7 linked regions of the Kluyveromyces lactis genome follow. The protein of the gene in region 1 purifies or fractionates together with the protein of each later gene. This does not show direct contact. Links are inferred from orthologs where the notes say so. Each region holds a gene or a part of one and is shown in the gene's direction. Other genes may lie near its edges.

What was found.
Region 2: the proteins of CBC2 (region 1) and CDC40 purify together in Saccharomyces cerevisiae (affinity purification with mass spectrometry; 3 studies listed by BioGRID). This does not show direct contact. The link is inferred for Kluyveromyces lactis from reciprocal best matches to the Saccharomyces cerevisiae genes CBC2 and CDC40.
Region 3: the proteins of CBC2 (region 1) and PRP46 purify together in Saccharomyces cerevisiae (affinity purification with mass spectrometry; 3 studies listed by BioGRID). This does not show direct contact. The link is inferred for Kluyveromyces lactis from reciprocal best matches to the Saccharomyces cerevisiae genes CBC2 and PRP46.
Region 4: the proteins of CBC2 (region 1) and CWC2 purify together in Saccharomyces cerevisiae (affinity purification with mass spectrometry; 3 studies listed by BioGRID). This does not show direct contact. The link is inferred for Kluyveromyces lactis from reciprocal best matches to the Saccharomyces cerevisiae genes CBC2 and CWC2.
Region 5: the proteins of CBC2 (region 1) and PRP9 purify together in Saccharomyces cerevisiae (affinity purification with mass spectrometry; 4 studies listed by BioGRID). This does not show direct contact. The link is inferred for Kluyveromyces lactis from reciprocal best matches to the Saccharomyces cerevisiae genes CBC2 and PRP9.
Region 6: the proteins of CBC2 (region 1) and YRA2 purify together in Saccharomyces cerevisiae (affinity purification with mass spectrometry; 4 studies listed by BioGRID). This does not show direct contact. The link is inferred for Kluyveromyces lactis from reciprocal best matches to the Saccharomyces cerevisiae genes CBC2 and YRA2.
Region 7: the proteins of CBC2 (region 1) and CWC15 purify together in Saccharomyces cerevisiae (affinity purification with mass spectrometry, with the first as the bait; 3 studies listed by BioGRID). This does not show direct contact. The link is inferred for Kluyveromyces lactis from reciprocal best matches to the Saccharomyces cerevisiae genes CBC2 and CWC15.

The regions. Positions count from the first base shown.
Region 1 is NC_006038.1:913,886-916,645, reverse strand, and holds CBC2 (nuclear cap-binding protein subunit CBC2), read left to right. Parts: upstream 1-1,537; coding exon 1,538-2,134; downstream 2,135-2,760. Other genes in the region: KLLA0_B10450g (homeobox domain-containing protein), read right to left, coding at 2,600-2,760.
Region 2 is NC_006041.1:1,891,320-1,894,573, forward strand, and holds CDC40 (Cdc40p), read left to right. Parts: upstream 1-1,204; coding exon 1,205-2,494; downstream 2,495-3,254. Other genes in the region: pre-rRNA-processing protein ESF1, read left to right, coding at 1-878; proteasome regulatory particle base subunit RPT5, read right to left, coding at 2,585-3,254. UniProt on the Saccharomyces cerevisiae protein: May function in the second step of pre-mRNA splicing. Regulatory protein involved in replication and mitotic spindle formation and/or maintenance. Required for initiation and completion of S-phase and for initiation and completion of DNA replication.
Region 3 is NC_006042.1:1,034,191-1,037,441, reverse strand, and holds PRP46 (mRNA splicing protein PRP46), read left to right. Parts: upstream 1-1,429; coding exon 1,430-2,734; downstream 2,735-3,251. Other genes in the region: pseudouridine synthase PUS7, read right to left, coding at 1-1,168; NuA4 histone acetyltransferase complex catalytic subunit ESA1, read left to right, coding at 3,099-3,251. UniProt on the Saccharomyces cerevisiae protein: Involved in pre-mRNA splicing. May also be required for cell cycle progression at G2/M.
Region 4 is NC_006039.1:1,336,317-1,339,517, forward strand, and holds CWC2 (active spliceosome conformation promoter CWC2), read left to right. Parts: upstream 1-1,667; coding exon 1,668-2,681; downstream 2,682-3,201. Other genes in the region: snoRNA-binding protein NHP2, read right to left, coding at 261-710; mRNA splicing protein PRP28, read right to left, coding at 3,123-3,201. UniProt on the Saccharomyces cerevisiae protein: Involved in the first step of pre-mRNA splicing. Required for cell growth and cell cycle control. Plays a role in the levels of the U1, U4, U5 and U6 snRNAs and the maintenance of the U4/U6 snRNA complex.
Region 5 is NC_006042.1:2,292,036-2,295,546, reverse strand, and holds PRP9 (SF3a splicing factor complex subunit PRP9), read left to right. Parts: upstream 1-1,147; coding exon 1,148-2,740; downstream 2,741-3,511. Other genes in the region: ATP-dependent RNA helicase DBP10, read left to right, coding at 1-839; CDS1 (phosphatidate cytidylyltransferase), read left to right, coding at 3,039-3,511. UniProt on the Saccharomyces cerevisiae protein: mRNA splicing factors, PRP9, PRP11, and PRP21, are necessary for binding of the U2 snRNP to the pre-mRNA in an early step of spliceosome assembly.
Region 6 is NC_006038.1:1,265,728-1,268,440, forward strand, and holds YRA2 (Yra2p), read left to right. Parts: upstream 1-1,341; coding exon 1,342-1,383; intron 1,384-1,541; coding exon 1,542-2,150; downstream 2,151-2,713. Other genes in the region: DOA1 (Doa1p), read left to right, coding at 1-1,009. UniProt on the Saccharomyces cerevisiae protein: Involved in export of poly(A) mRNAs from the nucleus. Recruited to the coding sequences as well as poly-A sites of active genes.
Region 7 is NC_006040.1:1,430,516-1,433,207, forward strand, and holds CWC15 (U2-type spliceosomal complex subunit CWC15), read left to right. Parts: upstream 1-1,561; coding exon 1,562-2,125; downstream 2,126-2,692. Other genes in the region: ACL4 (Acl4p), read left to right, coding at 1-285; adaptor protein NBP2, read right to left, coding at 438-1,121; SLS1 (Sls1p), read right to left, coding at 2,282-2,692. UniProt on the Saccharomyces cerevisiae protein: Involved in pre-mRNA splicing.

The DNA.
Region 1 (2,760 bases):
TTAACGATTGGTCTCTGAATGATCGTGGTGTCTCTTACACTTTTTCAAAGAAAAACATTGCTGATTTTTGTTCCAAGTTCAATTTCGATTTAATTATCAGAGGGCATATGGTGGTAGAAGATGGCTATGAATTCTTTGCAAGGAAAAAATTGGTCACGATTTTCAGTGCACCAAACTATTGTGGTGAATTCGAAAATTGGGGTGCTGTCATGAGTGTGACTACTGGCTTGATGTGCAGCTTTGAACTATTGAAACCTCACGGTATTAAAAGAAAGAGATAAAAGAAGTTTGCTTCCGATTAGATGTTTACATGAAACAATATCTATTTTTTTTTTCATTACGACTATTCCTTTTCTACAAATTTTCATACATAGTGTATCATGAATCATTGATGAATATTTCATTTCTCTCCTTTTATGGCTTTATTATACTGATAATAGTAATTCCGTTCGTTCGCACCTTTCTCAATCTTGAAATACAATATCATAATACTGTCACAATCACTGATTTCTTTTTCTCATTTTTACTTCCTTTTTACACTAGGCCAATACAATTTTCAACTACTTGTTTTTCGACATACGTTTTCTAATCTTTATAACAATTCAACCATATCTCATCTCATAAATGTCTGAAATACTTTGGTATTCATGTCTATCAGTTTGTTTGTTTTCTTGTCGTCTATACCGTATATGTCATTGTATTACGTATCCAATGTGTGGTAAACAGGTACTGCTGCTAATTCTATCTTGATAGTTTACTGCCTCTACAGTGGTATATATTGTGACGGATTAGTTATCAGTATCATATATCACGGTCCGCTCGTTAATGTCGATCTTCATTATTTTCAGTTGTTGGGTTGTTGGCAAAAGCAAAAAATTTCAAAAATACTCCGATACGGGGAGTCGAACCCCGGTCTCCACGGTGAAAGCGTGATGTGATAGCCGTTACACTATATCGGATAGTAACCATACAAAATAGAAATCAACATTAGTTTTTATTATGGAAACAGTATCACTTGAAACCTTCTCTTCAGATATTGTTAGTATGTAGCTGAATCTCTTGGAAATACTTGTGTAGTCAATTTTAACAATCAGCACCTATTTAACAGGGATCTTATTCTTCTTGGTGGCATGGGGGTGTGTTATGAATTCTAAAATGGTATCTTCCCACATTTCCCTTATGGCTATTGAGAATCATTTCTGTCAAAGTAGAGTGCATAACAATATTTTTCCAGAGAAACCACTGGATAGTCTCAAATTTAATTAATTGAAAGTTACTTATTATTCTTTCTCAGCAGTCAAGAGCTTCGATGCAGTGTCCACCCGATTTGTTTATTTGATTTTTCACAACCTGTCACTGACACAAAGTATTCAGTACTTATAATATGGCTTATATGGAAAAAAAAAAAAAACTTGAAAGATTCATTCAACTTTAAATTTGGGATTGAAATGATTAAGTAAAATCTATAGGTTCATAAGACACCATAGCTCCAGATAAACTCCAAATACCCCAAACTAGCATCAGTCAAGCAAATACCATGTCTCTAGCGGAGTTTGATGAGATTAAGTACGATCACAGTTGTGATAGGTTAGATAAGCCCTCTCGTTATTTGATCCGTAAGGCTAGACGTGACCCAGATTCTGGATTGCAACAGTTGAGAAAATCTATGAAATCCTGTACAGTTTATGTGGGTAATCTATCGTTTTACACAAGTGAAGAGCAAATATATGAGCTATTCTCCAAATGTGGCACCATAAAAAAGATTATCATGGGTCTAGATAGGTTCAAGTTTACGCCGTGTGGATTTTGTTTTATTATATTCGATAAGATGGAAGACGCATTGAATTCTATAAAATACTTGGGTGACACGAAGTTAGATGACCGTCATATAACCATTGACTTGGATCCTGGGTTCGAAGAGGGAAGACAGTTCGGTAGAGGTAAGAATGGTGGTCAAGTTAGTGATGAGATGAGATTCGAATTCGATGCGTCCAGAGGTGGGTTCTACACTCCACTTGAGAATAGAATTGGAACAAATGCCAACTTCGGGGCCAGAAGAGTTAAAAACATTCCAATACAGCAAGAGGATGAAGAATATGAAGAAGATGAAGATGCTTACATTCCAGGCCAATAAAAACAGTACAATCATAAGGTCGTTTATCGATGTGTATATATCACATTTCAATCTAAGTACCTATTTCACTAAGTTAATTGATTTAAAAGAATAATACTGTGGTAAGAAGTATTTTATTTGAATATATAGCTAGTTCATATTAGAGCTAAAGATATCTCGATATAATAAAAAATTTTGCCGCTTTAATCCATCAATAGGAGTTGGGTGAAATGAATGGATGGTAGATAAAAGAGCAGACAAACACTAATAAACTAATAAATGAAAGAAAGTTAAAGCTGTGCCTTATAATGAGCTCGTGACAGCTGGAATTGAAGATTGACCGTAGACAAAACAAAAAAAATTAAGAATATAAAGAATTAGGAGAAAGAAAAGACCACCTTAATATGAAGGGGTAAAATCTTCTTCTCATGCATGCTAAACGATAACCGAAAAAGTGTAGATTTATGATATGCATTACGACAAATGTCACGATGGTTGTCGACGATGAGAAGGTGGGGGCATATTATTCGATGACAGACGTTTCAATTCATCCAGACGATCTATCAATTTTTTCCTTCTTGTAAGTGGTATAGTACGGAATCTCATTTCCAATTGGGGATCAGATCCATCTTCCTCGTGTTGCACTG
Region 2 (3,254 bases), on another chromosome or scaffold:
AGCTTACATGGGATGAAACTCCTGCAGACCGTGTGGAAATATCTAAAAGAGCATTCACTCAAAAAGAAATTGAAGAAATGGACTTTAAAGCTTATTTAGCCTCCGATAGTGAAGAATCTGAAGTTGAGCATGATGATCAAGTTAAAAATAAACTCAAGGCTTTAGTAATGGATTCCGTAAAAGTGGGGCAAAAGTCACTATTTGATCAAAAGGAAGATGAAGACGATAATGAGGCTGATATGGAAATAACTTTCACTCCAGGCCTGGATGAGTCTGGCCAACAAGATACCAATGATAACGAAGAGGAAAGCACCATTGATAAGATTAGACGTAAAGAAAAAGAAAGACGTAAGAAGAGAAAGGACAGAGTCAAGGAGCTTAAGAAGGAATCAGAAGCCAAATTAAAGGAGAACCTTAAGAAGAAGAAAGATACTTCTCACAGCATCGATGACGATAAGAAAAAGGGAGAGTTAGAGCTCTTAATGCTAGATGAAAATGAGGGTGAATCAACAATTAACAACAAGGCACACTTCAACATGAATGAGATTCTCAAATCTGAGAAGGAAAAATCCAAAAAGGCCAAGTATCAAAACAAGGAGAAGATTGTGGATGATGAATTCACTCCAGACGTTAATGATCCAAGATTTAAAGAGGTCTTTGAAGATCACGATTTCGCGATTGATCCTACTCAACCAGAGTTCAAGAAGACACCAGCTATGGAGAAGATTTTAAAGGAACGTACAGTACGTTCAAGCAAAAAATCTAGGGGCAAAAAGCGTAACCACGAAATTGCAAATACTGAACATAGTAAAGACATAAATAAGATCGGCGGTTTAGTTGAAAAACTTAAGGCCAAGAACAAAAGAACAAAACACTAATTTGCAAACTTGTGGACACTTTATATCAACCCAAAGACGTCCACATCTTATATGTATATATTCAGCATTTGATTAAAGCATAAATACATCATTTCACTTAATCATGCGACTGTATCATGGCATGGTCTGTAACTTTAAGTCATTTCCTTATTTATCCAGATTTGTACGTCATATTCTGTGTGTGAACAAAAAGAAAAAGTGCACATTATCACATTATATGAAATAGGTTCATCTTTCTAAAGATTATCTAAAATTGTAGGTAATACACGGACAAACCGATAAACTTACTAGATAGACTCTGCCACTGCCATAATATCCAGGGAATAATGGGGCTGGTACAGGGTTATGAAAGTGAGAGTAGTGATGATGGCTCATCTGTAGCTGTGCCTAAGAGATCGTTAAAAACATCAAAGGCTGAATTGAAGTCCAAAAGACTTAGGAGGAACGGGAAAGGACCATGGGCAAAATGGCAAGGATCTAGTGACGATGAGATCGAACAATTATCAAAGGATTCAAATGCTTCTAATTCCTTAGATTTAGGTGGTGATGAGGATGCAGTGGCATCACAATCACTTGAAAGAACGAAATTTGTAGGCAGTACTGAAAAAGACTATCTGGGAAGATGCATTTTACACCCCCCAGTAGATATTCCATTAGAATTCAAGAAAGAACCACTATCATTCAGGTGCTTCCTTCCGAAAACCAAGATAGCAGAATACTATGGGCATAAGAATGGTACTACATCATTACGATTCATACCGAAAACAGGACATCTCTTACTTTCAGGCGGTAACGACAACATAATAAAACTATGGGACTTTTATCATGAGAGAGAACTATTAAGAACGTATGAAGGTCACTCTATGACTATAAAGGATTTGAACTTTACAGATAATGGACATTCTTTTGCCAGTGCATCATTTGATAAATGGGTTAAGATCTGGAACACCGAAAAAGGTATAATTGATAAAAGATTGCGTTTCAACTCTGTACCGAACTGTATTACATTCCACCCAAAAGACAAGAACCAACTAGTGGTAGGATTATCCAACTCCGAAATACGGCACTATGACTTGAGGCTATCAGAAAACCATGGGGAAGTACAGAAATATGATCATCATCAGGGTTCTATTTTGGCACTAAAGTACTTCCCTGATGGTAAGAAGTTAATCTCGTCGTCAGAAGATAAAACGGTCAGAATTTGGGAGAACCGAATCAATATTCCTATTAAACAAATCAGTGGCACAGCACAACATTCTATGCCATGGATCGATATTAATCCACAGGGTCAGTCTTTCTGTACACAAAGTATGGACAACACCATCTATACGTACTCAATGTTACCAAAGTATAAAAGACACCCAAACAAGACATTCAAAGGTCATAATACTACAGGTTATGGTATTCATTTTGCATTTTCTCCTGATGGCCAATACATTGCATCTGGAGACTCTAAAGGTCAGACGTTCATCTGGGATTGGAAAACTACCAAATTGTTAAAGAAATTTAAGCCATTTTCAAATAACCTGCCAGTAACCTGTATTGAATGGAATCCTCAAGAGACAAGTAAGTTATGTTGCGCTGGTAATACCGGAAAAATTGCCATTCTGGACTAATGAAGAATTGAGATTCTTTGAGACATTATTCTTGGTTTCGGCACAACCTTCGATAAGGTTATGTAGATATACTTAATGATTACATATAAATCATGCATAAAAGGAAACGGATTTAGACTTTCTTGCCTGTACTTCACCGATAGCCTCAACGAAATCTTCGTGCTTGATTGTTGATTGAGCGTTTCTTAATGCGATCATACCAGCTTCGACACTAACGGCTTTCAATTGAGCACCATTGAATTCATCTGTAGATCTAGCGAGTTCTTGCCAATTGATAGAATCATCAGTTGTCATTTTTCTGGAATGAATCTGTAGAATTTGAGCTCTTGCATCTTCTGTAGGGAGTGGGAATTCTATTTTTCTATCAAGTCTACCAGATCTTAATAAGGCCGGATCTAGAACATCAACACGATTGGTAGCAGCCAACACCTTAACCCGATCATCAGAGCCAAATCCATCCAATTGATTTAGCAACTCTAACATTGTTCTTTGTACTTCTCTATCACCAGATTTTTCGGAATCGAAACGTTTTGTACCAATGGCATCTAATTCATCGATGAAAATGATAGTAGGTGCCTTTTCCTTAGCTAATGCAAATGCGTCACGTACCAACTTTGCACCTTCACCAATGTACATTTGAACAAGCTGAGGTGCAGCTAGCTTTAAGAAAGTGGCATTTGTTTGAGCGGCACAGGCCCTAGCAAGAAGGGTCTTACCTGTACCTGGAGGGCCGTACATCAAAGCACCCTTTGGAGCCTTA
Region 3 (3,251 bases), on another chromosome or scaffold:
TTCTTCTAGCTTCTTTGGAAATTGGCAAAACATTTTCTTGTTCAGCCATGATCAAATCAACAGCTTGTTTCCAGTTACCTGATAATAGGACTTGCCCAATTTGATGCGTTGAAACACTGAACGTACCAAATCTTTGCATACCGAAATAATTGATGAACCCATTTTGTTCCAAGGATTTCATGCCATTGGCTAGGATATCATCCAAATCATCGCCTTCATTCTTCAATGAAACATCTCTGATAGCAATAGTGAATTCGTTTCCCTGTAGATCTCCCAAGTTCAATGGCTCATCTTCGAATTTGTAGCCACCTAGAACGACACCCTTCAAGCCCTTGTTTAGTCCGTTTAATCTGTCCAAACCAATTTTGGATAAAGACATTCTTTGACAAGTGACAGCCCTACGATCCTTTGTTCCAGAAAATCTGATCAACCTTGTTGGAATTCTCATGAATTTTGATAAAGTATTAGCGACATCCATAGTATCTTTGTTTTCCTTATAGACAGTAAAATGAATAAACGATTTTGATGGACCATAACCCCAGTTTTCGACACCGTTTGCATCCTTAGTTTGTTCGATCAATTCTTCTTTGCTAACACGTGTTTGGCGAGAAGCCATTCCAACAATGAAATGGTTTGAATCCGTCGTTACAGATTCTAACTTGTTGTCGAAAGCTCTACGTAGCAGTTGATGTATTTTAGTCCTTTCAAGTTTATCATCGAATGCCTTCGATGTTTCAATCTTTTTATTTGAGCGGTACACAGCTTCAATTTTTTGAACATCCTCTTCTCCCAAAAGTTCAACAAGTTCATTTCTAATTCCTTCATCCACCTTAAATCCTTGGCGTTTCTCAAGTTCTTCTTTTTGCGATTGCTCGATTTGTTCTCTCGTTGGCTTTGGCTTCTTTGGCATATTAAAACCTTTGTCAGTCAAATGCACAACTTCGCCTTGCTTGGTGATTTCATTGACTAAAAAGTCAGTGTACCTTTGTTTGATCTGACCATTGAAACCAACATTATCCATTGATAAGTAATGCGTGATACCAACATCCTTTTCAGTGATGTTGTTATTGTTTATACCTTCATTTATACCTTCACCAACTTTTGTCCTCTTAATATCTTCTTGCTGGGCAGCAGCTTCGGACTCTCTTTTCAAAGATTGGTCTGACATTATACCAATACTATACTTTAACACGAGAGTACTAATACCTGGTACTTGTTATAAGCAATTAAGAAGCGCAGCTTCCAGATTTGAACAACTGACTTCTGCTTCAATGTGATGAGATGAGATGAGATGAGCTCGAAATTTTTCAAGAAACGAAAAGAACCGTTTTGTATGATGGATATTATGAAAAGTTAACGAAGTGACATATACAAAGATGAAAGAGAGTTACACGACTTAATCGAACTGATAGACAACTAATAAGTACCAATGAATACATCCAGCCGTAGCTCTGAACCTTCGAAGGTAGCAGATGATGTTTACGTTCAAACTCGGTGGAATAATGAATTTAAACATGCTGATTATTTACCTGAGTCGTTACAGAAGTGCCTGGATCAAGAAAAGACTGTTTTAGAAAGGTACAGTGAATTAGTTGAGGTGTCGAAAACTGTTGCAAACGAAAGCTCTCAAGCATTAGTCAAACATACCACAAAACCAGGCGACCAACTAGTACGAAGAGTGTTCCAACAGCCACATCAGCAGATTTCATTGATGGAACGTTATGAAAAGACTCGAAGTTATAAACCGCAATGGCATGCACCATGGAAACTCAGTAAGGTAATAAATGGTCATACTGGATGGGTAAGATGTGTATGCGTGGACCCCGTTGACAATGAATGGTTTGCTACTGGTAGCAACGATACAACCATTAAAATCTGGGATTTAGCTGCGGGAAAGTTGAAAATTACTCTAATCGGGCATGTAATGAGTGTTCGAGATATTGCTATCTCAAAGAGACATCCTTATATGTTCTCAGCAAGCGAAGATAAACTTGTAAAATGTTGGGATCTAGAAAGAAATACTGCAATTAGGGATTTTCACGGTCATTTATCTGGCGTGCATACCGTTGATGTTCATCCGAGCCTTGATATAATAGCTACTGCTGGTCGTGATGCTGTAGTAAGGTTGTGGGATATACGATCAAGATCTGAGATAATGGTTCTGCCCGGTCATAAAAGCCCTATAAATAAAGTCAAATGCCTTCCCGTTGACCCACAAATAATCAGTTGTTCCGGGGATGCAACAGTTAGACTTTGGGATATCATTGCAGGGAAGGCAAGCAAAGTTTTAACGCACCATAGTAGAAACATCAGAGACTTGACGCTACACCCAGCAGAGTTTAGCTTTGCCAGTGTATCTACGAACGACGTCAGATCCTGGAAATTGCCCGAAGGACAGCTATTAACCAACTTTCAATCCCAGAACACTGGGATTTTGAATACCGTATCAATTAATCACGATAATGTACTATTAGCTGGTGGAGATGACGGTACTTTGTGCTTTTACGATTACAAAACAGGACACAAATACCAAAGTATGATGACAACTGAAGTTGCTGGCTCACTTGAAAGTGAGCGATCGATTTTATGCAGCACCTTTGATGTCACAGGAACAAGACTCATCACAGGGGAAGGAGACAAAAGCATCAAAATATGGAAGCAAGTCCCTGATGCTACAGAAGATACATTCCCTGGCTTGCCGTGGAATCCCACGTTAATATCTCAAAGATTCTAATCTAGCTGGTGTCTACTTGCAGCGACTTATGTAGAAGTTTGTAGTTTAACTCTATTAGGTCCCCGTTTTCCATCTATCTAGAATATTTCAGTCTGCATTAATTGCGAGGTTTGCTCTAACTGTCATATGATTACAGTCACGTAGTCAAGGACAGGGAACGTCAGGTTTTCTTGTATGTTTGTTCAAGCATGGTGTTTGCTTTAATACGGTAATCTGAATAAATTAACTGAAATTTAGCATCTTCAAAATATTTGAACTTATTAGTTACGCAATAAACCAAATCCAAAAACAGAGCACCTCTGTAAGAGGAACTAGTAAGGCAAGGCAACTGTTTAACAAATATTTTGGGCGAGCTCGCTAATACATGAGTCACGGCGAAGAAAAGGAACCTGGGATTCCCCAGAAGGTTGACAGCATCGATGAGATTTTCGTTGGATGCAAGTCATGGGTACTAAAAGATGGTCAAGATCGTCTTGCTGAAATTCTATCCATTAACAGCAGAAGAGATCCACCTAAG
Region 4 (3,201 bases), on another chromosome or scaffold:
GGTACATAGATATTAATATTTATTTTACAGATAGGTGGGTGTAAGTAGATGCTCGAATCAACTGGTATATGCCAATTGGAAATTAGTCTTGCAGTCTCAGTATATGCATTGCAAGAAGAGTTCAAAAATAGTAGTTGTGAAGTGGAAGTAGTTGGGGTTAATTAAACAAGCCAACACCAGGAAGCAATTAACGAAACACTCGGTGTTTTGCGATTATAACTTTCTCTTTTCCGGTTGTTCTGTCGACAGTTTTCATATCTCTACAAAGAGCTTACTTCCTTAACAATTTCATCGAATGCAGCACGGTATTCTTCTTCCTTAGCCTTAGCATCTTTCTTCTTGTTAGAGCCTGGAACGATGAATACAACAGAAGTAGGTCTCTTGGTGGCACCAGCAGAACCTAGATCTTGCTTCGAGGGCACAAAGATATATGGAACAGATTGGTCTTCACACAAAACTGGCAAGTGAGAAATAACATCTTGTGGGAAAATATCACCAGCAATGACTACTAACCCTTTATCACCCTTTCTCAAAGCCTTGACAACCTCTTTGACACCTCTTTTGACATTCTTAGCCTTGGAAGCCTTCTTGACGGTCTTTAACACCTTTTTGTTCAGTTTCTTTGATGCTAGAGGTTTTGCAAATGGTAGAACGGCAGGAAGTCTAGCTTCGTAGTTGTCTTCTGTTGATACACTCTTATCCTTGGCCATCTTTGTTATTATGTATAGTTCTTCACTGTTCCCCTGGTTCAAATAGAGCGAGCAATTGATTGAGAAAGGAATCAATATCACATCAGCAAGATAGGTTCATCGATTCATTCAACAGTTCAATTCTCATACTCATCGCTCTTCTTTTTGTTAACAAAAAATGAAAATTTTCCAGTACCGAGTAACATGAAAAAGAAATAAAGTATCAATTACAGTAGGGACGACATAAATTAATCCATGCGACACATAAACAACTTTTCAGAATATCGTGCCAGCGTCTTGTTTCGGAGGTGGTACATAGCAGTTGTAGAAATGTCCATCGCCTAACATTATTCTGGATGAGTCCCTTTAATTTCATACAAAACTTGGAGTTTTAAATGGCGAACAATATGTACAATGATTAAACTCTGTAGGAGAAATTAGCTGTTCCAGGTGCAGGGCATTATTGTCCTGTGATCACTTCACTTGTATAATTAAATACTTTAAAAGGTTTAAATACTCCATATACCTCTTAATGTCAGGCAATGTAGTCTTAGTAAACCTTGAAGTTTGGTTATAGCATCATTGAAAATTACAACACACAAGTAACTTCTCTCGGTAGCCAAGTTGGTTTAAGGCGCCAGACTGTAATTTGAAAACACAAAGCAATTTGTAATCTGGAGATCGGGCGTTCGACTCGCCCCCGGGAGACTTATCTTTTTTTCGTTTCCATTTTGTTTTTGATCATGATCGTTTTCACTAAAGAAAAGTTCCAACCTTGAAGTTTATTGAAAACACTTTGGCCTGCGATGAGATGAACATGGAAGATGTGTGCTCGACAAGATACAGTTTTCACCGTTATAATACGGTATCTGTTGTTGCATAAATTGGACGGTTCAAACTGTTTGCTTGTTCGAGGTCATTAAAGAATACTTGGTTTGGCAAATTGCCAAATATTAAGGTCATCGTCATCAATATATTATGACTGGGGATTGGAAGAACCGACCAGCAAGGGTTCAGTTACAGGAGTCTGACCTACCTTCATCAGTACCGCCTCAGACGGGTTTGGCTTTCAACGTATGGTACAACAAATGGTCACAGGGGCAAAGTGGGTCCACTAGGTTCGTCACACCGTACTCGCTTGATCCCGAGAACGATTCTGGTATCACTAAAGGTGATAAAGAGGGTCGGATTCATTTCTGTTTGTATTTCGCTAAGGGAATGTGCTGTTTAGGCAAAAATTGTCGGTACTTGCATCATATTCCAGAGCCAGATGATTTTGCGAGGTTAGCTTTGCATTCCTCTGCGTTAGATTGTTTTGGAAGAGAGAAATTTGCTGATTATAGAGATGATATGGGTGGGGTAGGTTCCTTCAAGAAACCTAACCGTGTCTTATACGTGGGTGGTATTACAGGGGCACTCAACAACAAAACTTTGAAACCACATCAGATTGAGAATAGAGTGAAATACAAGTTCGGGAAACTTGGAGAATTGGATTCTGTTCGATACGTGGAGAGTAAGAATTGTGCCTTTGTCAAGTTCAAATTACAGTGTAACTCCGAATTTACTAAGGAAGCAATGGGCAATCAGACTCTATTAATACCAACCGATAAAGAGTGGGATCTAAGGAAGGAGGGAACTGGGTTGCTTGTGAAATGGGCGAACGAGGATCCTAATCCAGCTGTACGAAAGAGAGAATTGGAAGAACAAACCCAAGAGACTTTGAAAGCTATAAAACAACTAGTGGCTAGTACTGAAGGCACTGTAAATCAAAAACGTAAAGTTGAAGAAATCAACGAAGTGAGAGATTCGCAGGCGAACAGTCGTGAAAGATTCAGCATTAGGGAGAATGCAATCATAGATAAGACTATTTTAGATAAGTTGAAACAAAGGAAAGTGACTATTACCAATACCAACGTTGCTGCAAATATAACAGTTTCAAAACCATCGTCGGTTTTACCTTTGGTAACCCAATATTCATCTGATGAAGACTAGATTTCGTGAAGTCATGTGACACATTGACTTTTCCAGATTAGGTATATTTTGGATTACTGGTTGCCGTCATGAACAACATCTAGCGGATTTCAGATTTGTTTTACTGACATTGCAAATATTTGAAATGAATATAAAAGCTATCAATGCCTGGTTTTCAAATTATGTCGAAGTTGTTTTGTCGAGTTCACTTACTTGAACTTCGTCAGTCTACGGTTTGGCCTTCATCAAAAAACACGATAATTTTGAATCAGACATCCGAAAAAATGGAAGACAAGGCACAGGCTCAAACAAGAACGCATGAATCGTCAGACCATTGGGTATTTCCAGGATTGACCTGGAATCCTAAATGCATTATTAGCTAGCACACTGTAACTATTTACGTTAAATACTCTAATTCATATTGCATGACTCTAAAATTTCAAGGAAAAAAGTCTAGTCCTTTCATATAATAATTGGTTTGTATGAAGATTTGTCAACATTGTATTTCGACATAGCTTCTTTTGAGATGTAATTTTCTCCG
Region 5 (3,511 bases), on another chromosome or scaffold:
CTCCAATTCAAAGGAAGGCAAAAGAAAGACAAGAACTTCTGGAAAAAGAGAGAATGATTGGTTTGAGGCATAGTATAGAAGATGAAATTTTGAAAGGTGAAGACAACGAAGTTGGTTACTCAGTGCCTGATGAGGTATTGAAAGAATTTGAAGATGCCGATGTCTTGTTAGAAGAGCAAGAAAATATTAAGAAGAAGCAGAAGAAAACTTTCAGAGATCCAACTTTTTATCTATCACATTTCGCACCAACTAGTGACATTCAAGATAAACAATTACAGATATCATCTGGTTTCACAAATGATGCTTCCAATGCTGCATTTGATCTAGCCAACGATGACAAGGTACAAGTTCACAAGCAAACAGCTACGGTTAAGTGGGACAAGAAGCGTAAGAAATATGTGAACACTCAAGGTTTGGACAACAAAAAGTACATCATCGGAGAAAGTGGTCAAAAGATTCCTGCAAGTTTCAGATCCGGAAAATTCCAAGATTGGTCTAAGGCAAGAAAAATTGCTCCACTCAAAGTTGGTGCAAGAGAATCCACTATTCCATCGAATCTATTGGCTGATCCGACTTCTCCATCGGAGCGTACGGTTGGCGGTAAATTCAAACACAAGACTCAAAAAGCTCCTAAATTGCCTGATAAACATAGAGACGATTACGCTTTCCAAAAGAAAAAAGTGGAAGCTGCTTTGGAAAGAGGTGTTAGAGTTAAGGGTTATAATGGTCCTGGGATGAAACAAGAAATAAAGTCAGTTGACGAGATTAGAAAGCTAAGAGAAATTAAAGAGAAAAAGCGTTCCAAGAATGCCCGTCCTACGAAGCGGAGAAAACATTAGTATATTATGTAACTGCTCAAATAACAATCAGTGTGTAATTGAATAGACATTTTCTAAGCTTAAACATGAAATGGCCTCTCTCCAAATTATTGTTATGATATGTGACATATTGTATTGCTGGTTTACATTGTTTACTAGTATTTGTTCCTCATACGTCGAAATTGCCATTGATTATAGAAAATAAAAATGTAAAGAATGGAAATACCTTAGAAAGTACAAATATGGATCAGATGAAGGCTCAAAATGAATACCGTGCCTTCGGTTTACTGTCTGTGTAGCAGTTAGAGGATTCATAGAAGACAATAGATATGAATGCCCCCACTTATCTATGTTTTGAAGAGAGGCGAAAGATATTAGAAGAATTAGAAGTCATCGAGGATGCTATTTCGTCCAGACTACGAAGAAATCCAGAAATCTTTTACAGATTTAACGAAGCACTGCATAATCTGGGAGTTGAAGCTTGGGCGGTACCTAAGCTAGACGTTTCTGCCAACAGGATTTACAGGAGCAAGAAAAGCAAACGTTCTAGAAAGCAAATCAAAGCACAAGAATATGAAATCGCCTTATTTCTTGGAAGATATAGAAGACTGTTGAAATCTTTGCAAAAGCACAAATTGAGTGAAGAACATTTAGAATACTTTAGGGATACAAACGCTAGCTTTGAACAGTTTGAAACCGTCACCACAGAAGTATTAGAGGGTCAAGTAAACTCACGTTCTCTGGTTGAAGTCAAATCTGACTATGAGATGTTTTCTGGCCCTCAAGCTGCCAGTAAGAACATCATATCGCCCATAGGACAAATAATTGATCTTTCAAGAAACTTTGCTAGAGATGAAAACTTTGGGACGTATTTGGATCTCTCAGAACAATTCAAGAAGTGGTTGAATATCATCAAGCGTGCGGATTTAACGATACTTTCATTTTTGAAGATGTTAGAATCATTTGAAACATACGACTACTTACTCAACCCATCATTAGATAGAGACACCAAGGAATATAACCAATTAGTCACTGAGTTACTGAAATATTATAAGGCCTATTACTCCAAAGCTTATCCTCTAGTGGACAAGGAAATTCTTTCCAAAACCATCCACAATGGATTTGATAAATATGTGAGGACCGGTATCACAGAATCCCCATCGAAGGAAAGCGGGAAAATGTACTCCGTTGTGTTTAATCGATGGTTTGATAGTCAGTCGGAATTTAATACTCATGTTCAAACTGAACAGTTTAATATTGCATTGTCTCGGAATAGAAAGCGTTTGATGAAGGAATACACGTTTCACTGTTTTTCCAAATTTCTCTCTAAAGTATTGCAAAATACAATATCATTCACGGAAAGAAAACTTGCATTCACAGATGAAGAGTTTACTGAAGAGCTGGAAAAGCTACAAGAACAATATGAATCACCCATATACGCCAAAGATGAATCTGAAGATAAACCATCTTATATTGACAATGCTGAAGATACTGCTCAAAAAGAGAGTATGGATCCAACGAATCCATACAACCTACCATTAGGACCTGACGGATTTCCTATACCTCGCTGGCTCATCAAAGTCCAAGGTTTAGATGTGAAATATGTTTGCGAGATCTGCGGTAATCAAATATATCATGGGCGTAGAGAATTCGAGAAACATTTCCCACTGAAAAAACATTCAGAAGGTTTGAAATCTTTAGGCATAACTCCTTCTCTTGCATTCAAAGATGTCACTACTATAGTAGAGGTGACAGAGCTATGGAAAGCATTGCAAGCAAAGAGTACACTAAAGTCAGGTGAACCCTTTTCCAAAATATCAACTGTGAAAGAACCGGAAATGGTACTTGAAACAGAGGACAATGAAGGTAATGTGATGAGTGTTCAAGTATACGAAGAACTTAAGAAACAGGGCCTTCTCTGACCTTTCAATCCTACACACATGCTAAAATGGAAAGACTCTCCCTTATTGCTGCATCTGTAAATATCGTATGTATGTAGAGGAACTTTACACAAGTTGGGAGCATGGTTTTTTTTTCACATGTCACATGATCTTGAAGTTCGAAGAAAATTATCCATTTGGAATAGATGGTGGAAATATATAATCAACCAAGAAAAAAGAAGAGCATCATCACTCGCATGAGTAAGGAAACAGATCTCTACTTCACAGCATCTTATTGATCTAAGCACGTTACAATCTGCTAACCGGGAATATAAAAGTGATGACAGTCAAAAAAAGAACTGGTAACACCTCCCGTGGTGGATCTGCAACCTCAACACCTCAGAAACAACATCGAGAAACAACATCGAGAACACGGTTAGTTGAAGATTACAAAAAACACTCCAAGGTTGAAGTCAAAAAAGATTCAAAACTATATAATTTTGCTGTTAGAACCATTTGGACATTTGTTATGATTGCAGGTTTTTTTATCATCTTGGCTTCTGGTCACTTTTGGTGTGTTGTCTTGATTTTGGGTTGCCAAATTGCCACTTTCAAAGAATGCATTGCAGTTACTGGACAATCAGGACGTGAAAAAAACCTCCCTTTAACGAAAACTTTGAACTGGTACTTTTTGTTTACTACGATATACTATTTGGACGGTAAATCACTTTTCAAGTTCTTCAACGATACCTTCGTGAAGTATACCGTTTTGAATTTCGTGGCATCCAATCACAAGTTCATTAGTTATTGTCT
Region 6 (2,713 bases), about 350 kb from region 1:
TAATAAGGTTGAATATGAGGGTAAGAATTACGATTTCGTGTTTGATGTTGACATCGAAGAAGGCAAACCACCGTTGAAACTACCCGTCAATGCAAACGATAATCCGTACGATGTTGCAGATAAATTCATAATTAGATACGAGTTGCCAACAAGTTATAAGGATCAAATTGTCCAATTCATTGTGACAAATACTAAGTCGACTACATTAGATCAACCTTCTGATATTTCCAGACATGCAGACGTCAATTATAAGATATTCCCCGTGAAGAAGTACCTAAAACTTACATCTTTCAACCCAGATTCTTTGTTCAATGGTATTGTGAAACTTAATCAGGCAGAAAATACCTTTGACGATGACGCACTTGGGGCAATCGGTTCAGCTTTGCACGATGTGGAAAACAACATTGAACTATTGTATGCGCATGCATGCATCATTAAAAATCAATGGAAGGGGAACAAAACACCCGCATACGATATAGTTAGAATTCTAACCCCAAAGTTACCTTCAAGTGACGACATGAGTGAGTTTATCGAGGAAGGACTTTCACAAGAAAATCCAATCTCTACAATGCTAACTACAAGAATGTTAGCCAACTGTTTCTCTAACCAAATTTGGGGGAAAGAGCTCATGGGTAAGCCAGCATTGTACGATTCCGTGTTCCAAATATTGGACGGTGATTATCCAAATTGCAAACCTCAACAAAAAGACAACTTGGCTATTGCAATCGCCACTCTACTCTTCAATTATACCGTATACATCCTGGAATCCAATGATCAACAAATTCTTCCAATCATTGCTGATGTACTTAATACAAAATACGGATCATCATCTCTGTTCCTCAACAGTGAAGAAGCTACATATAGACTCCTAATCGCTTACGGAAATCTAGCCACTGTAGAACCATCGTTACATCAATACGCTAAATCCATCTCCTGGATTATCAGAGCTAAGGATAAATACGGTAAGATAGGTAGATTCGAAGATGTATTCGAAGACTTATTTAGATGATGGTAGTCTTTGATCATTAAATATTACATACATACATAAAGATACAACTTCTCCGGGTTAATTTGCTATCAAGTTATCAAATATGGTGGTGTTCTGTCAATGCTAGTGAGTGGATCATAATTCAATCATCATTAGAGTAGTTGAAGCGCTCGTCTCTTCTTTAATCCTATTCATGTACATAAGCATTTCTTGAAAAATTATAAAGGAAAGTTTAGTCAAAGTTTACATTTAACATGTAAGTAAAGGTTTGAACGAAAGATTGACAATTTCAAGGGTGAATAAGTTCAATTGAGGCACTAGCTGACCAATAAAAAACAATCACACGTTTTAAAATGTCTTTTGAGCGGGACTTAGAGAGCATTGCTGAAGGAAAAGTATGTTCTAACCAGTTTTCATTCCAGTTACAGATTTCTACATCAGAAGCAAACCGAACATTTTACTAACTCATTTCAACAAATTCAAACTAATATGAACCAGACACGTCAACACCATGCAGTATGTGATGAATGAAAGTGATAATTCAAAGTGACAGTATCAATCTTTGGCGAAATTGTCAAAAGAGAGTAATCATTCTTATGGAACAAAAAATATTAACAAGATAGAGTCCTGTGACCATGTTATGAACCAGGTTTATCGTCGTCGTGATCTGAGAAATGGCTTAGCTGATCGTCTCGGGATCTCTGACAGAGATAGAGAACCTCGTGGGAAGGATGGTGGTAGAGGAGGCTACCGTAGTAAGAGAAACTTTAATGACAGAAGGAAGAGAATAACGTTACTAAGAATTAGAAACATACCGTTAGAGACCAGTGACTATGAAATCGAAGATTGGATCAATGAGATAGGTGAAGTGGAGTCAATTAGGATCAATGATAGGAAAGAAAACAGAGTTGCTACCGTTGGTTTTAAAGACGTACAGTTGTTAGGCACAGCTGTTGAGAAGTTGAATGGGAAGGAGGTTCATGGCTCGCAGCTTGAAGTGGAGACCTTTGAAGTTGGTTCCAAAAACACAGGTAGAGGTCCAGCAGGTCCTCATGCCACTGGTGTACCCACATCAGCTAAAACTCCTAAAAATCCGAAAGCAGAACCTAAAACAAAAGAAGAGTTAGACCAAGAAATGGATGACTACATGTCGCAACCTTGAGAAACTCTCTAAAAGGAAACTGGCCCCGTGCTGTTTATGTAACTTATGTGCAAACTAATCACATGCTTGAGTTTGTTTCACGTATTTCATTTGTATAGTTGGAATGTTTTCGATGTTTTAGTCATCACACATGCTCATACCAATCTTATTGTGATGGAAAGAGTTAAGGCAACGTAAAACGAATGAAGAATATTAACCAAGAATAATGCGATTATATATATAGTTTATATATGCAGAAAAACTTGAACACTGTAAGTTGCGTTTTTTATTGGGGGGTTAGTTTATTTGCTTAATAGATTCGTTAAAAAAATCTATCAGGTTCATCATAATCATACTATGACACTTTCCAATAGGTGCTCGACAACAGAACAGAAACAAAGGTATTAGTCATTTCATTTCGTAAGCCATGTGTTGGGTCTGCTATTTGAAATAACATCCCACTTGAGAATAAATCTTTATCATAACAATTAAAGGACAAGTGGAAGCAAAACAACCCAGTTTAAAAAAGAAAGACCACTCCCACTGTTCTTGTCGAAGGGTTAAAACAGAGCGTTTTTAGTTTG
Region 7 (2,692 bases), on another chromosome or scaffold:
GAAAATATCTACGAATTCAATTCCCACGTCCAAGAATTACCTTTGGATATCAAGAATGAGTCATTGAAGGACATTATTTACGAGGCGCGTGTTTCTTTGAGCTTTGCTTCTAAGTTCAGTGAAAATGCGGAGTCCGACGATGAAATGGCCAAGGAAATAATCCAAGGAGTCCATGGCTTGTTGAATGAAATTGGTGGTGCTCTTGATATAACAGAACTAATGAAACTCAAACGTGGAGAGGAAGTTACAGAAATTGATGAAATCGAAATCAACGAGCTTGAATGATCTAAGAATGCAGGCACGGGCTTCATGTTAAACTGCTTTTGATCAATTCTTTCATTTCATCTTAACGGGACTTTTATTGTAACGTATTACTAGAAAAGTATTTAATTAATATTGCAGCTAATATATAGATATTTAGCGCAGAAAACAGAATGCTATAGATCCAATTTCTCCTTGATATCTTTCGCGAGTTCTGATACGTCGCTCTTTTCATTTAACGTACTGCCTGTTTTTCCGTTTTCAAGAACAGTTCTATTATCATGAGAAACACCATTGTTGTTCGTTATATCAACTGATACTGAATCTTGACTGGGTCGCTGTATACTTCTGTGCTCTTTATCACTATGTCCTTCAGCTTCCTCGTCATCTTCTATGTCTTCCCAATCATCATCGTGATAATTAGACATGCTCTGCGTTATCATTTGAGTAAGATAAAACGGCCTAGGATTCTCATACCTACCGTTGTCTTCGCCATCGTCTTCAATCAACTGCACATACTCTTCCGGTACCAATCCTGTCTTGGATCTATCGTGATTTTCTGCCACTAACCACCCTTGGCCATGCTTGTAACTTATATATACGACATCTCCTTCTTTCAACTCCAACTCGTTATCATTTTCTGGGACAAAAGCATACATCGCTATGGCTCTCTTATTAACGATATAATCATCTGGTAGTAACACACTTTCTCTGTTCCCACTCAATCGAAGGTTGTTCTGATCTTCATCATCTTCTTCAAAATAACCAAAATGTAACGGATTTGATTCGTCATATGCGTAATCTTTTATCGATATGTACCCAACCATATCGTCCTCTTGGTCAACCTCATATTCTGACATTATGATAGTTATGTCTTCTGATGTTATTAGTAAATCTCACCGTCTTTGATCTAAGTTCAAAGCCTCATTCAATATGTGTTCAGTTCTATATTTCTAGTGTGAACGAATGCTCCACGGGAAATGATTAAATGATAAAGTCCTATGTCCTCTTAGAAAAGTTTGGTATGAAATGTAGCTTGCTATATGTAGTTGCCAGTACGACGTTCGTAGTTCTTATTTCTTTGGTACACGGTAATTGTTAACGTAGATTCGCATTTGAAGTTTCAGATTGCTATTTTTTCATATCAAGGCTATAAAGATTGAACATCAACGCACATTCACGAGATTGTTCACAGGCAAAACAGGTGAGCTAATTTAACTGGTACCTGGGATGGTAGATAAGCTTACGTTAGTTTCAGTGGAGTGCTACAGATTGAATATAATATTGACTGTGTTCTGAAATGACTACATCGCACAGACCTCAACTAGAGGCCAGGAATGGGGCAAAGAATATAGAATACATTCCTACTTCGACGCAGCACGCTAGACTTTTACCGGGGCACAAAGAGGTTAAGTATAGAAACACGAAGAAGAGGGTGTTGAATCGTAAAGTAGAAAGTACTCCGAGTGAGGAGGCTAAGAAAAGAATCAAAATAACTGGAGCAGAGGAATGCTCGAAAGATGAAGAGATACAGGCCACGGATAGTAGCGATGAGTACGAGGAAGAGGAGGAGGAGAGTGAAGATGAAGAAGCGCTATTAGAGGAGTGGAATAAAGTTAAGCAAGAAAGATTGGACAAAAAACTGAGAGAACAGCGTGCTGAAATCACAGCAGCTCAAAATGAAGAAGTGACGAAACCGCAAAAGCATGGTGGTTGGAGATCTAACACTGTATTTGGACGTAAAGGTACAGTCAATCAATCGGCAAGTATATCTGAACATAATTCAAATGGGAAGGGAAAATATGTCAATAATATTACTCAAAGCGAATATCATAAGGAATTTATACGAAAGCATGTAAAATAGTTTATGTTAAATATTTTTCTATTATGGAGAATCAATCGACAGGTGTACGTCAAAAACTTAAATGAAGTCTATATATCTGTTCTTCCGCACTATTTACAGGATGACTTTGTATAATTATACATATATGCATTAAGGACCAAAATATTTCGAATGATTTCAGAATTGTAAAACGTCATCGATGAAATTTCTAACGATGTCCTTGTTGATGGATCCGTTAGTGCTGATAAAATCAATAGATGAAGCTTTGCCTCCTAAGCTTCCGCCTTCAATTTCAGAGAGTTGTACCAAACAATCTTCTTTGTACTTGAATCTTAATAAACGGTGTTCGTAGCGATGCAAATAATTGTATCTGATCTTTTGCGGTTCTTCCATTCCTTCTAATTTCACGTTCAATTCAAAAGAAGGAGCAATGCGGGGCTTCTTCAAGCCTCCGAAAGAGAAATTACTTTCCTGTAAGAATTTCCTGAAGCTTGGTTGTTCCCTCTGTAGCCAATCGAAAAACTCTGAAGATTCCAAATCTTCTGGAAGTGCATCCACTGTATCTGTCACTGTGATTTTAAAGTCATG